Saccharomyces cerevisiae S288C: one gene and its partners. Changing the gene in region 3 together with the main gene of any one other region gives a genetic interaction. Each region holds a gene or a part of one and is shown on either strand. Other genes may lie near its edges. The genes, in order: MOD5, HDA1 and MEF1.

Region 1 (3,573 bases), on a different chromosome or scaffold from region 3:
TTCTCATGTGGCCATTGGATAACCCAACACCCATGGTGAAAAGCATTGACACAGGTAGGGAAAATAAATAGACAGGCTTACGACCAAACACTTCACTTAATGGAGCGCCGATGACAGTCGATAAACCCAGAAGATAGAAAGTTAAACCAGCAAGCGCCAAAGTCTGACTAACGTGATATCTTTCTACCAATTCTGGTACGGAAGAAACATATAGGGAACTACCCATTGTGACGACCAAACAAAGAAAAGCTGAAGTCATAGTAGTATACCATTTCTTCAAAGAGGACCAATTATGCGGATTGTCTGGGTCATCGGGCCCGTCCCAATCGAGATCTCTTGGGTCAATTGGCTCGCCCCCTGTCATGTTATTGGAATCTGCATTCGGTTCTGATCTTTTTTCGTCCTCTGTTATTGACCCTGTCGAAGAAGAAGTCGAATCCAAGTTGCCGCTATTAGTTACATTTTTGTCCAAGGCTTTTGGTACCTGCTGTATGTTTGTTCGAGGATCTGAGTTAGATTCGGTTTTTGTCAAAGAAGAAGGCATTAGTAAAACTTAAAATATATGTATACGATGTCTATGCTTCTTTGTGTGTGTATGTGTGTGTATAAGATGGTATCTTTATTCTGTAATTTTCAGGAAAGTGATGACTAGAAAATCGATGTGTCAGGTACAACAAATTGACAACCTATAACTTTCCATACAGGCGAATATATATATACACATAAACACATTCAAGCCTCCGGTACCGTTTGCTCTGACAAGGACAATTAGCATGTAAGCACGAGTGCGGGTATGCAATCATTTCAGTGTTTCCTTCATTTGGCATAGTGTCGTAACACGGATTTAAGGTGAGCCGTCAGGGGCTTTTAAGCGGAGCCCCTGCAGCTTCATGAAGACGGAACCGCACGGGCCTATTACCTCGGGGATAGATCAATTATCCGAAGCGGGTCACAACCCGGAAATAATAACCACTATGCCCGACCGTACCGACGTGGCACTATTTTTGGGATCCGTGGAAGTCGGCCATTAGTGGTAATCGGCGAAAACAAGTTTATTGCAGCTAAAGCACGCCATACGGTTGATATAAACAGCAATTAGGCACTTTTTCTCTTATTATTCATATGCCTTATTGGCTTGTGGCTTGTGGCTTGTAGCCTATGCAAATGCATTTGCTGATAGCAGCATAAGAAAGTTGGGAAGAAACGCTAACTGTACTTTTTATATCCAGAGTTCATTAGTTGATCTTTTACCCCAATAATTTCTTCCACTTGCGGCCTGCTTCTTCGCATTTCTCCCATTCCGGGCCGCGACTCCGTAGTTCTTACAGAAACAGCCGCCTCCATAACCATCTATGATAGGAAAAAGATGGACAAACAGGAAAAGAGCTAGGGAGTATAACCTGATTCCTGACATGTATAGGATTCGGGTAATTTTGAAATACGAAGCTCTTTGCATTCCGAGACCGGTTTAGGAAGATTTATTTACATATCTACTTGCGCTATTGTGGTCATGCCTTCGAAAGATAAAGAGCGAATTTTGCTCGTATAAGCTAAAATCAGGTAAAAGTTCCTTATGTTGCTGCTCCTCGATGGCAACGTCGATCTAAGATCTTGATTACTGAATCAGGCGAAAGCACACGTTCATCTTTCGCTCATCGGAAAGAAAATTAAAACAGAAAAAAATTCTAAAATGGCAAAAAAGAAGAAAAGCTCAGTGAGGGCTGTATAGTTTATTAGATAAGCTACTATACGTACATATCTTTTGTAAATAGAACCAAAAATCTTCATGCTAAAGGGACCGCTTAAAGGTTGCTTAAATATGTCTAAAAAAGTTATAGTGATTGCTGGTACAACAGGAGTAGGAAAGTCTCAGTTGTCCATACAATTGGCACAAAAATTTAATGGCGAAGTTATCAATTCGGATTCTATGCAGGTATATAAAGATATTCCTATTATAACAAATAAACATCCGCTTCAAGAAAGAGAGGGCATTCCTCACCATGTAATGAATCACGTAGATTGGTCAGAAGAATACTATTCCCATCGTTTTGAAACTGAATGCATGAACGCTATTGAAGATATTCACCGGAGGGGTAAGATACCCATCGTTGTTGGGGGTACTCATTATTATTTGCAGACTCTTTTCAATAAGCGGGTCGATACGAAATCATCCGAACGTAAGCTCACAAGGAAGCAGCTCGATATTTTGGAATCGACTGACCCTGATGTGATTTATAACACACTTGTGAAGTGTGATCCTGATATAGCTACCAAATACCATCCTAATGACTACAGGAGGGTACAACGAATGTTGGAAATCTACTATAAGACGGGCAAAAAACCAAGCGAGACATTTAACGAACAAAAAATAACTTTGAAGTTTGATACCCTATTTTTATGGCTATACAGTAAGCCGGAGCCACTTTTCCAAAGGCTTGACGATCGTGTAGACGACATGCTAGAAAGAGGCGCCTTGCAAGAAATCAAGCAATTATATGAATATTACAGTCAAAATAAATTTACGCCGGAGCAATGCGAGAATGGTGTTTGGCAAGTTATTGGCTTCAAAGAATTCTTACCGTGGCTAACCGGGAAAACTGATGACAACACAGTAAAATTGGAGGATTGTATAGAAAGAATGAAAACGAGAACACGTCAATACGCAAAAAGGCAGGTAAAATGGATCAAGAAAATGCTGATACCTGACATCAAAGGCGATATATACTTACTGGATGCCACTGACCTTTCTCAATGGGACACGAATGCATCTCAAAGAGCGATAGCTATTTCCAATGACTTTATTAGCAATCGACCCATCAAGCAAGAAAGGGCACCTAAAGCCCTAGAGGAGCTGTTGTCTAAAGGCGAAACTACGATGAAGAAATTGGACGATTGGACACATTATACTTGCAACGTCTGTCGTAACGCAGATGGTAAGAACGTTGTAGCTATTGGCGAAAAATATTGGAAAATTCATTTGGGTAGCAGAAGACATAAATCCAACTTGAAAAGAAACACTCGTCAAGCTGATTTTGAAAAATGGAAAATAAACAAGAAGGAGACTGTGGAATGAAAATATTAGGAAAAAGGAGTTTATCCTGAGTGTATATATCTACATAAGTGAAGCTGGGTTTTGATAATGGAAAGGGAGGATGACAAGCTCAAAATATACTTTATAGATGAATGAGGACAGGTATCATTGGTCTTCAAATGTCAAACTCTTATCAAGCCTAGCTTTTTCTGCTCTTCTTGCTGTATCATATTCCTGTACCTCATTGTACAGATTGCTGGTAGAAGTAATTAAATTTTCGTAAAATGCTGTGCCGGCACTTAAATTTTCTTTCACCTCATCAAGCAGTTTGAAGGAATATCTCAGATCTTCAATATATAGCTCTCTGGGATCTATTCTTACCATTTTCTTTGGTTCAATCCCGCTTCTGCCGGGGTTATTCTTCTTACTTAGGTTTACTTCCTCAATAAGTTTGATATTTTCTTCCTTTGTACTATTAACGTATCTTAAATCTTCGTCAAAGTATTTTAAATGGCCTATGAAAATGGGTTCAAAGTCGACTG
Region 2 (4,451 bases), on a different chromosome or scaffold from region 3:
AACTCCATTCAACAGCGTATGATCGATAAACTCAACTCTTCTGAGGAGTCATTCAACGCTAGGAAAATGTCCAAGGTCAAGCTGCATGAGAAAGGGGAGATAGATAAGCCAACAATGCTGAAATCAAGTGGCCCGATTTCAAAAGACAAAAAAACAAAACCTACCCCACCACCTAAGCCTTCACATTTAAAGCCTAAACCTCCTCCAAAACCACTGCTCCTCGCGGGACGAAAGTTATCCTTGGATAAGTGAGTATTTGGCTCAACAGAACCGGATCGATCTCTGAAGAGGCTGGTAACATGTTCAAAGAACCTTTATTACAATGTGTTATATATGTAAGCATCCACTTTAATGTATACGTTTTCCCATAATACTTAGTAAAACACAGCTTAATGCATTTGTTCATTTCTTTTTCCTATTTTAGATATATTGGATTATACAATGAACATTGTAACAACTTTATTATTATTCAACTTTCATAAGGCATGAAGGTTGCCGAAAAAAAATTATTAATGGCCAGTTTTTCCTCATTCTTCATCACTCCATTCTTCAAACGAATCCAGTATAAAGTCTGTAGCCTCTTCAAATCTTTCTTCAATTATATTGTTTAACCCGTCCGTATCACATCTCAAAACTCTACCGAATTTTTTTCTTGGTTTTCTGCTTTCATTTTCTTTCCAGCATTGGTGGCTATTGTTTGAAAATATAAGTGAGTTTTTGAAGTACCATTCACTCAATGTTTCATCTACTAGAGGAACTAGTGGCTTTAACTGCTTGTCTCCCAAGAAATTAATTACCGTTTTAGTAACAGCCCTAGTATCCCTGTGACCAAGCAGATGTACGATACCTGAGTATGAGTCTCCTATTCCAATAAAAGCAATTTTGGCAACAGAAGGAAAATACTTGATGTAGTTATCCCATAAATATATTAGAACTTCTTGGGATGTAATCATTCCTGAGTAATTGTCAGGTTCAAACAGAGTTAGAGGTATATTTACATCAATGATGCCGTATTTCCTGTCAAGTCCCCATTTGATAAAGTCTAGAGAATTATCAATGATAACTGATGAGGATAAGTCAATTGTACCTGAAATAACATTTCTCTTTGCCCAGATATCAGAAGTATCATGAACGACTATAATTATAGTGTTAGATTCGGAAATGTTTGGAGTACATAGCACTGTATTATCTGGTAAATCCATGCTTACTAACGGTAAAGTAACGAAATTAAATTCGTCGCTTAAATAGTGTTGCTGTTGTTGACGAATAGCCTTCTGCAGAGGAAAATTTTTAGATATTATCGAGTCGTTAATAGGTTCGTTAAAATTACAACCGGAGTTAGCATGTCTCCTTCTAAAACAGTTCCAATACTTGGACTGTAACCGAATTACTTTGTCTATCATTTCTATGACCTCAGGCTTGGGATCACTTAATGGATCAGGTAGTTCATCAGGAGGCTCCCCTATTAGTACTTTTGCTACACTCAAAGCGCTTCTTGCAATCGCATCCAAGTTATATCCACCTTCCAAAACTACACAAAGATTACCTCTAGCTAGAGATTTTAACATATGTGTCATGTGTCCATAACAACTTGGGGTGACATGACATTGTCCGATAGTATCACCATCCGCGGCATCAAACCCTGAAGAAATAATCACCAAGTCAGGCTTGAATTCTCTCCCCATAGGCATAACTACCTGTTCAAATGCCCACATATATTCTGCATCACCAACACCGCCGACCGGCCAAGTAATATTACAATTGAATCCTTCACCCTTACCCTCACCAGTTTGATCATATTGTCCTTGGATGGTCCCAGGATAGTATTTACCCATTTCAAATCTGTGTAATGACACATATAGCACCTGATCGTCTTGATAGAATGACTTTTGTGTGCCATTACCATGATGAATATCCCAATCTAAAATCATTATCCTTCTTACACTTTCTGGGTAGTTCTTTAAGATATTCTTGGCAGCAACAGCAACATTACTGAAGAGACAAAAACCACCCGCAGCTTGAGGCTCTGCATGATGGCCAGGTGGTCTTACGACAGCTAGAGAGTTTTTTACACGCCCCTCGACAACCGCCTTGCATGCTTCAATGGCGCCACCACAAGGCAGCCTAGCACTCGCGTAAGAATCATTATTGAAATATACGGAATCACCTTTTTCAGTCTCTTTTAATAACTCTTCTCGGCTCATTTTTTCTGTGCTTTCAATAAACTCTAAATGTTCCTTTGTATGAACTTCCAAGATTTCTTCGGAGGTTGCGGCTCTTACAGGTATCTTCAGCATTAAATCACCAAGGTCATCCACGCCGCTTAAAGTGGGGTCGTTAATCAGACCATTCTCTGCTAGTATTTTATAAATACGATATATTCTTCTTGGGTCCTCTGGATGTGGATCAATGTACTCGAAGTACGATGTGAAAATCTTTGCATGATACCTCATTCTAACGTCATAGCAAAGACCAGTTTTCAGCGGTGAATAATGGATTTTTGGCATGCAAACGGGAACAATAACCTGCCTTTTACTTTTAGAAGTAGTAGAGAGGCTATTCTCTTCTTCTTTGTTCTCTTCTAGCTTTCTTTTTAAATCATGGTCTGGATTTTCCAGTACTTCTTTCTTAACCATTACAGAATCCATGCTTAATCTGTTCGGCGTATTACAGTGCTCAACTTTCCCTTTCTCAATATTTTGTTATGTGAATTAGGTCACTAAAAATTAAAACATTTAAGAAAAATAAAAGTTCCTTCCACAGACGAAACACTGTATATGCTTCCTCCCAGCTCTATTTACCTAATTAGTGACCTGATTAAACTTTTGGAAAGAAGCATTTTCCTCGAGATTTCCAAACGGTGCGGGAAAATGGCAAGTGAGGAAAAAAAAAACTGGCCTAAAATATTCGATGAGGTTAAGAGAAGAGCTGGTTCTTCACCAAGTGTTTCACTGAGAAGTTAGCTACGAAAAAGCATGAATTTCTACAGGGATGCAACATGGGTGCTAGAAGATATTGAGAAGGAGGCTGCAAAAGAAAGGATTTCCGGCTCTATGCAGACGCTGGTACTGAAAAGCTGTAAAAGATATAAGCTGAAAAGTAATCCAAAACATATTTATGCAGTTCTCGATTCGTGTTGGAAATATAAACCATATTTGGAGAAAGTGATGAAAAAGGCACACATATTGGAAGATATACCCAAGAAAAAGGGCAAACCACTCTTTTCAAGGCTAACTTTGTTATTGCTTTGCCATGATTTGCTGTTGTCTAAGCAGAAAAGAATTCAAATGGGCAAACACCCCATCAAAGATTATGTTTTGAAGTTTAAGAGCCCATTGCATAGCGAAATGGTCAAATTGAAACTCAAATTGAAAGTAAGAGAGCTATCTGAGTTGGTATTAAGCGAGGATATTTCCAATGACCTTCCTCCTGTTAGATGGATTAGAATCAATCCATTAAAATGCCATCCAAATGGTGAGACTGAGCCGGTGTTAGCCGAATTGAGGAAGAAGTTTACTTTAAAGGTAGACAAATGGTCTGAACTAGTTCCTGGGTCTATCTATTATGATGAGTTTATTCCAAACTTGTTTGGAATTCATCCGTCTGACAAAATTACAGCACATGAGCTTTATAAGCATGGGAAGATTATCATTCAAGATCGTGCTTCTTGTTTTCCAGCCCACATTTTGAATCCAGGACCAAGTGATATTGTGATAGATTCCTGCTCTGCTCCAGGTAATAAGACTACCCATACGGCCTCTTATATATATCCCGAACCACCGAAGGACAATAATACTCGAATATACGCTTTCGAGAAGGATCCTGAAAGAGCAAAAGTTTTACAAAAAATGATCAAGATAGCTGGCTGTTCTCCCAACATCAGTGTCAATGTAGGTGATTTTACAAAGCTCGCTACTCCTGAAAAATATAAGGACGTTACTTGTTTTATTGTAGATCCGAGCTGCTCCGGTAGCGGTATATTTGGTCGTAAGTTTTTTGACTCATTTAATAGAAGGAAAATTGATGATAAAGATGACGATGGTGGCATTGTGCCGGATGAGCAAGAGGAGTTTATAGCAAAGGAAGAACTACAGACAAGGTTAGCGAAGCTGAGTTCATTTCAGTTCCAGATGGTAAAGCATGCAATGAGTTTCCCAGCGGCTAAAAAAATAGTATACAGCACATGTTCCATTCATGCGGAAGAAAATGAACGAGTCGTCATAGACCTTCTTTTAGATAAGTCAGTTAGAGAATGGGGTTGGAAAGTAGCGCCAAAAAGAGAAGTTATTCCTTCTTGGCCTAGAAGAGGCAAGGTAGAAGAGTTCGAAGAGGTTTTTAGAGATGGAGTCACCTATGACCCTCAACAGCTTGCCGAGGGTTGTATCAGGGCACTACCAAAAAGTGACGGTGGTATTGGTTTCTTTGCTGTCTGTTTTGAAAGAGATTAAACT
Region 3 (4,438 bases):
GGTCAAGTAAGCAACTGAGCAAAATCAATATGGGTACAGCCAAGCAAAATCAAAATAGAAAGAAGTTTACGAGGGAGTATAAGGTTAAGGAGATCCAAAGAAGTATTACAAAGAAAACTAGACTGAGAAAGGAATACCTTAAAGCTTTAAAAGATGAAGGGTATGCCGTACCAGAAAAGGAACCAAAAACCGTGGCAAAAGAATCTGTAAGGAAGATTAAGGAAGCCAGGGCAATAGAGGGAAAGAAGAAACTAGACGAGAAGAAGGAGATCAAGAAACAAAGAAAGAGAATGCAAAAAGATGAATTAAACAAGCAAAGAAACGAGCAATTGGAAAGAATCAGAGTTTCGAAGGAAAAATTTCAGAGGAGAGAAGATAGAAAGAAGAAATTGACTCAAAGAACAAGGACAGGCCAGCCCTTGATGGGCCCTAAGATAGAGGATCTTTTGGATAAAATTAAGACGGATGATACTTATACCTCCTAGATAATGATATTCTTCAAAATTTCTTTTCATTCGTGTATTTACAGAAAGATCTTTTTATTTAAATTTACTTAATTAGTGTGTATATTAATTTTATTTCCTGCCTTTTGTTAATTCCTTTTTATTGGAATTTGTTATTTACAAGACTGTTTTGCCCATGAGGACTTGACTATTTCTTCGCTTGCTTCTTTTGGAACTCAGATATCAATTCTTTTTGAACATGGGGCGCTGTTGGAGCGTAATGACTAAACTCTAATGAAAACTCACCTTTACCTTGAGTCGAGGCTCTTAATGAGGTGGCGAAACCGAACATCGTGCTCAAGGCACATTCTGCTTTTAATGTAAATTCATCATGACCATTTTCGGTATCCTGTATTACTGCTTGTAATTTATTCAATAAACCGATGACGTTACCTTGAAACTCGTTTGGCGATGTTACTGAAACATTCATGATAGGTTCCATGATCACCGGCTGTGCCCTCAGGAAGGCGTCACGGAAGGCTGACATAGTAGCTGTTTTGAATGATAATTCATTAGAATCCACGGCATGAATAGCACCATCATTGATTAGCATTTTAACATCCAAAACACGATGACCGATCAATGGTCCCTTTTCACATACTTCTTCAAAACCCTTACCACATGCAGCCAAATACTTGTCCGGTATACGGCCACCAACAATAGCGGTCTCGAATATGTTGCCTTTGGTAATGTCATCCACGGGAGATAAGGTACCGATAACTCTACCATATTGACCAGCGCCACCAGATTGTTTTTTATGTGTATAATCAAAATCTGCCGGGATGGTGATAGATTCTCTATAGGAAACCTGCGGTTTACCCGTGACACAGTCCACATTATATTCACGTCTCATTCTTTCAACGTAAATCTCCAGATGCAATTCACCCATCCCAGAAATAATTGTTTCTTTAGATTCAGGATCGAACTTCACTCTGAATGTAGGGTCTTCCTTTTGAAATCTGTTCAAAGCCTTCGAAAAATTCGATGCGTCCTTTGAATTTGGCGTAATCGATAACGAGACAACAGCATCTGGAACATACATGGATGACATAGAGTATTGAACGCTACCATCAGTGAATGTATCTCCAGAAGCACAGTCAATACCAAAAGTAGCGCAAATTTCACCTGAGCCAACTTCATCAACATCTTCCATCTCACTAGAATGCATCCTGACCAATCTTGCAACCTTCACTTTTTTACCAGTCTTTACATTTGTAATGTAATTACCTTTTCTTAAACGCCCCTGATATACGCGAACATAAGTCAATTGACCATATTTGCCTTCTTCCAATTTGAATGCCAATCCAACAAATGGCTGTTGCACCGCAGGAACTAAGTTAACCTTGGCTTCGTTGTTGCTCACATCTAGAGCTGTATTCAACACTTCAGAGGGATTAGGTAAGTAGTCTACAATAGCGTCCAAAACGGGCTGAATACCAGTATTTGCCAGTGCGGATCCCATCAAAACTGGTGTAAAAGACCTAGCAATTGTAGATCTGCGAATAGCATCTTTAATTTGTTGCGTGGTAGGCTCCTTTTCTTCCAAAAACATTTCTGCCATTTCATCATCCACATCAGCAAGTGTTTCGATCAAAAGTTGTCTTTTTTCCTCCATTAATGGCTTCAAATTTTCAGGCACTGGCCCTTTTTCTATAATTTCACCATTATCACCCTTGTTGTAAATAGCAACTCTATTAATCAAATCAACGACACCAGATAAGCTTGATTCCGATCCGATAGGAATTTGTACAGCAGCAGCAGGTATTTTTAGTTTCGAATTAAGTTGTTCTATTGCACGGAAGGGATCTGAACCCATACGATCCATTTTGTTGATGAAAGTTACTCTTGGAACATTATATCTACGCATTTGACGATCCACGGTCACAGTTTGGGATTGAACACCTGAAACAGCACAAACAACAAGAACTGCACCGTCTAGTACTCTAAGAGCACGCTCCACTTCGATAGTGAAATCAATATGACCTGGAGTGTCGATCAAGTTGAAATGATAGTTTTTGCCCTCTTTATCCCAAGAGCAGTAAGTAGCGGCAGACTGAATAGTAATACCCTTTTCCCTTTCAAGATCCATAGAATCCATCTTGGCTCCAACATTATCCCTACCACGAACCTCATGAATGGCTTTGATTCTTTTTGTATAGTACAGAACACGTTCAGTGAAAGTAGTTTTTCCGGAGTCAATATGAGCAGATATACCTATGTTACGCAATTTATTACATCTTCCAATATCGTCTGGAGTAAGTTTTTGTTTGATTTCATCCACCAAAACTTTTTCTTCTTCATATGTAGAACGAGCAAGTGGACTCTCATGAAAAGACCTTCTCGAGAAACCTGAAAAAACTTTTGAACATGTGAAAAAGGGTATTCTACCTCCAACCATTTTTCGAGGCACCCACATCATTTTCTGGACACTCATATTGGTGATATATTGCAGTGCTTTCTACCTTCTTCCGTTTCAATCTCCTTTATTAAATCTCGTTTTTTAGATATTTTCATCTTGGAAATTTCGGCCGCTTGTGAAGTTCCATCCCCACAATAATAATGCAAAGTTATCATATTAATATATATATATATAAAAGACATATAAAAAAAATCAAATGTATTGTGCATCTTGGATGCCAAAAGTTACATTTTCTTTCCTTCATTCCGGGCCCTCAATGATCGTCTTGATATTATTTAACGGGTGGTGGCTTGTTTCTTCGAATGCCTCGACAGCATCCTTAAAGCTATAGCGATGTGTAATGAATGGTTTAAGCGAGAGTTTTCTGCTAGAGACTAGCTCGATGGAGTCACTATAATCACCTTGACAGTATCGGAAACAGCCTTGGAATGTCAGTTCTTTTGTTGGAATGATCGAGATGGGAAATTGTATTTCCTCTTGTCCCATTCCAACTTGAACGATCGTTCCACCTGCCTTACAGACTTCGATGCCTGCTCGAACGCAAGGCTCTGCACCAGAACATTCAAACACAACGTCAGCACCTTTCTTGCCGATTGCTTTTTTTATAACACTATCTACAGTAACGCCATGTGGGAGATCACCTGAGTTGACGATGTGGGTGGCACCAAACTGCCTAGCCGTTTCCAGCTTGTTTTCTAATAGATCTACAAAAACAACATCTGCAGCACCAAAGACACTGGCTACTTTCCCGGCTAGCAAACCTATGGGCCCAGCTCCAAAGACGACGCAACGGGCTCCAAACTTGATCTTTGCTAATTTATTAGCATGGATTGCCACTGATAATGGCTCTATTAGTGCTCCTTCCTCGAATGACACATCATCAGGAAGTTTATAGACGAAATCTTTCATGGTCTTATAATACTTTGTCAAGGTCCCATCAAAGGGAGGTGTCGCAGCAAATTTTAAATTGGGGTCCAGGTTGTATCTGCCCTCTTTCATCTCCGGTGAAAACCTGTCAGGTATTCCGGGCTCAAGTGCCACCCTATCTCCTACTTTAAGTGTCTTGACGTTCTCACCTATGAGGGCCACTATTCCTGATGATTCATGTCCCAGCACCATTGGTGATTCTACCACGTAATTGGCTATTCTTCCATGGGTATAGTAATGGATATCTGACCCGCATATTCCTGTCGCCTTGATCTGGATGATTACTTCGTTAGGATCTGAAATCTTTGGGATGCTGACATTAGTTAGGGTGATTTTACCAGGTCGCTCTAGAACAATAGCTTCTTGTGTAGTTAAGTCAGTCATGCTCAATGGTGTTCTCTATCCTCAAGGCAGTATGAATATGTCTTTTTAGTGTGTATGGATATATTTATGTATATACTTATACAGTTTTCAATTTTATTTTGAATTAATTCAGGAGAGGGGTTACAATCTCCTAAGGGATAGTAGCGCCGGTGACATTTTATTCGCTCTAAGATGAACTTGAGTTCGAGTCCACTTTGAGGATATT

The links.
Region 1: mutations in MEF1 (region 3) and MOD5 together harm fitness more than expected from each alone (negative genetic interaction), as found in Saccharomyces cerevisiae (2 studies listed by BioGRID).
Region 2: mutations in MEF1 (region 3) and HDA1 impair growth when combined (synthetic growth defect), as found in Saccharomyces cerevisiae (one study listed by BioGRID).

What each region holds. Positions count from the first base shown.
Region 1 is NC_001147.6:835,888-839,460, forward strand, and holds MOD5 (tRNA dimethylallyltransferase), read left to right. Parts: upstream 1-1,786; coding exon 1,787-3,073; downstream 3,074-3,573. Other genes in the region: TPO4 (Tpo4p), read right to left, coding at 1-544; RIM20 (Rim20p), read right to left, coding at 3,197-3,573. UniProt on the Saccharomyces cerevisiae protein: Catalyzes the transfer of a dimethylallyl group onto the adenine at position 37 in the anticodon loop on a specific subset of tRNAs both in the cytosol and the mitochondrion, leading to the formation of N6-(dimethylallyl)adenosine (i(6)A).
Region 2 is NC_001146.8:591,424-595,874, reverse strand, and holds HDA1 (histone deacetylase HDA1), read right to left. Parts: upstream 2,649-4,451; coding exon 528-2,648; downstream 1-527. Other genes in the region: serine/threonine protein kinase ARK1, read left to right, coding at 1-252; rRNA (cytosine-C5-)-methyltransferase RCM1, read left to right, coding at 2,976-4,448. UniProt on the Saccharomyces cerevisiae protein: Responsible for the deacetylation of lysine residues on the N-terminal part of the core histones (H2A, H2B, H3 and H4).
Region 3 is NC_001144.5:270,979-275,416, forward strand, and holds MEF1 (Mef1p), read right to left. Parts: upstream 2,938-4,438; coding exon 652-2,937; downstream 1-651. Other genes in the region: FYV7 (Fyv7p), read left to right, coding at 30-485; D-xylulose reductase XYL2, read right to left, coding at 3,163-4,233; RGR1 (Rgr1p), read right to left, coding at 4,400-4,438. UniProt on the Saccharomyces cerevisiae protein: Mitochondrial GTPase that catalyzes the GTP-dependent ribosomal translocation step during translation elongation.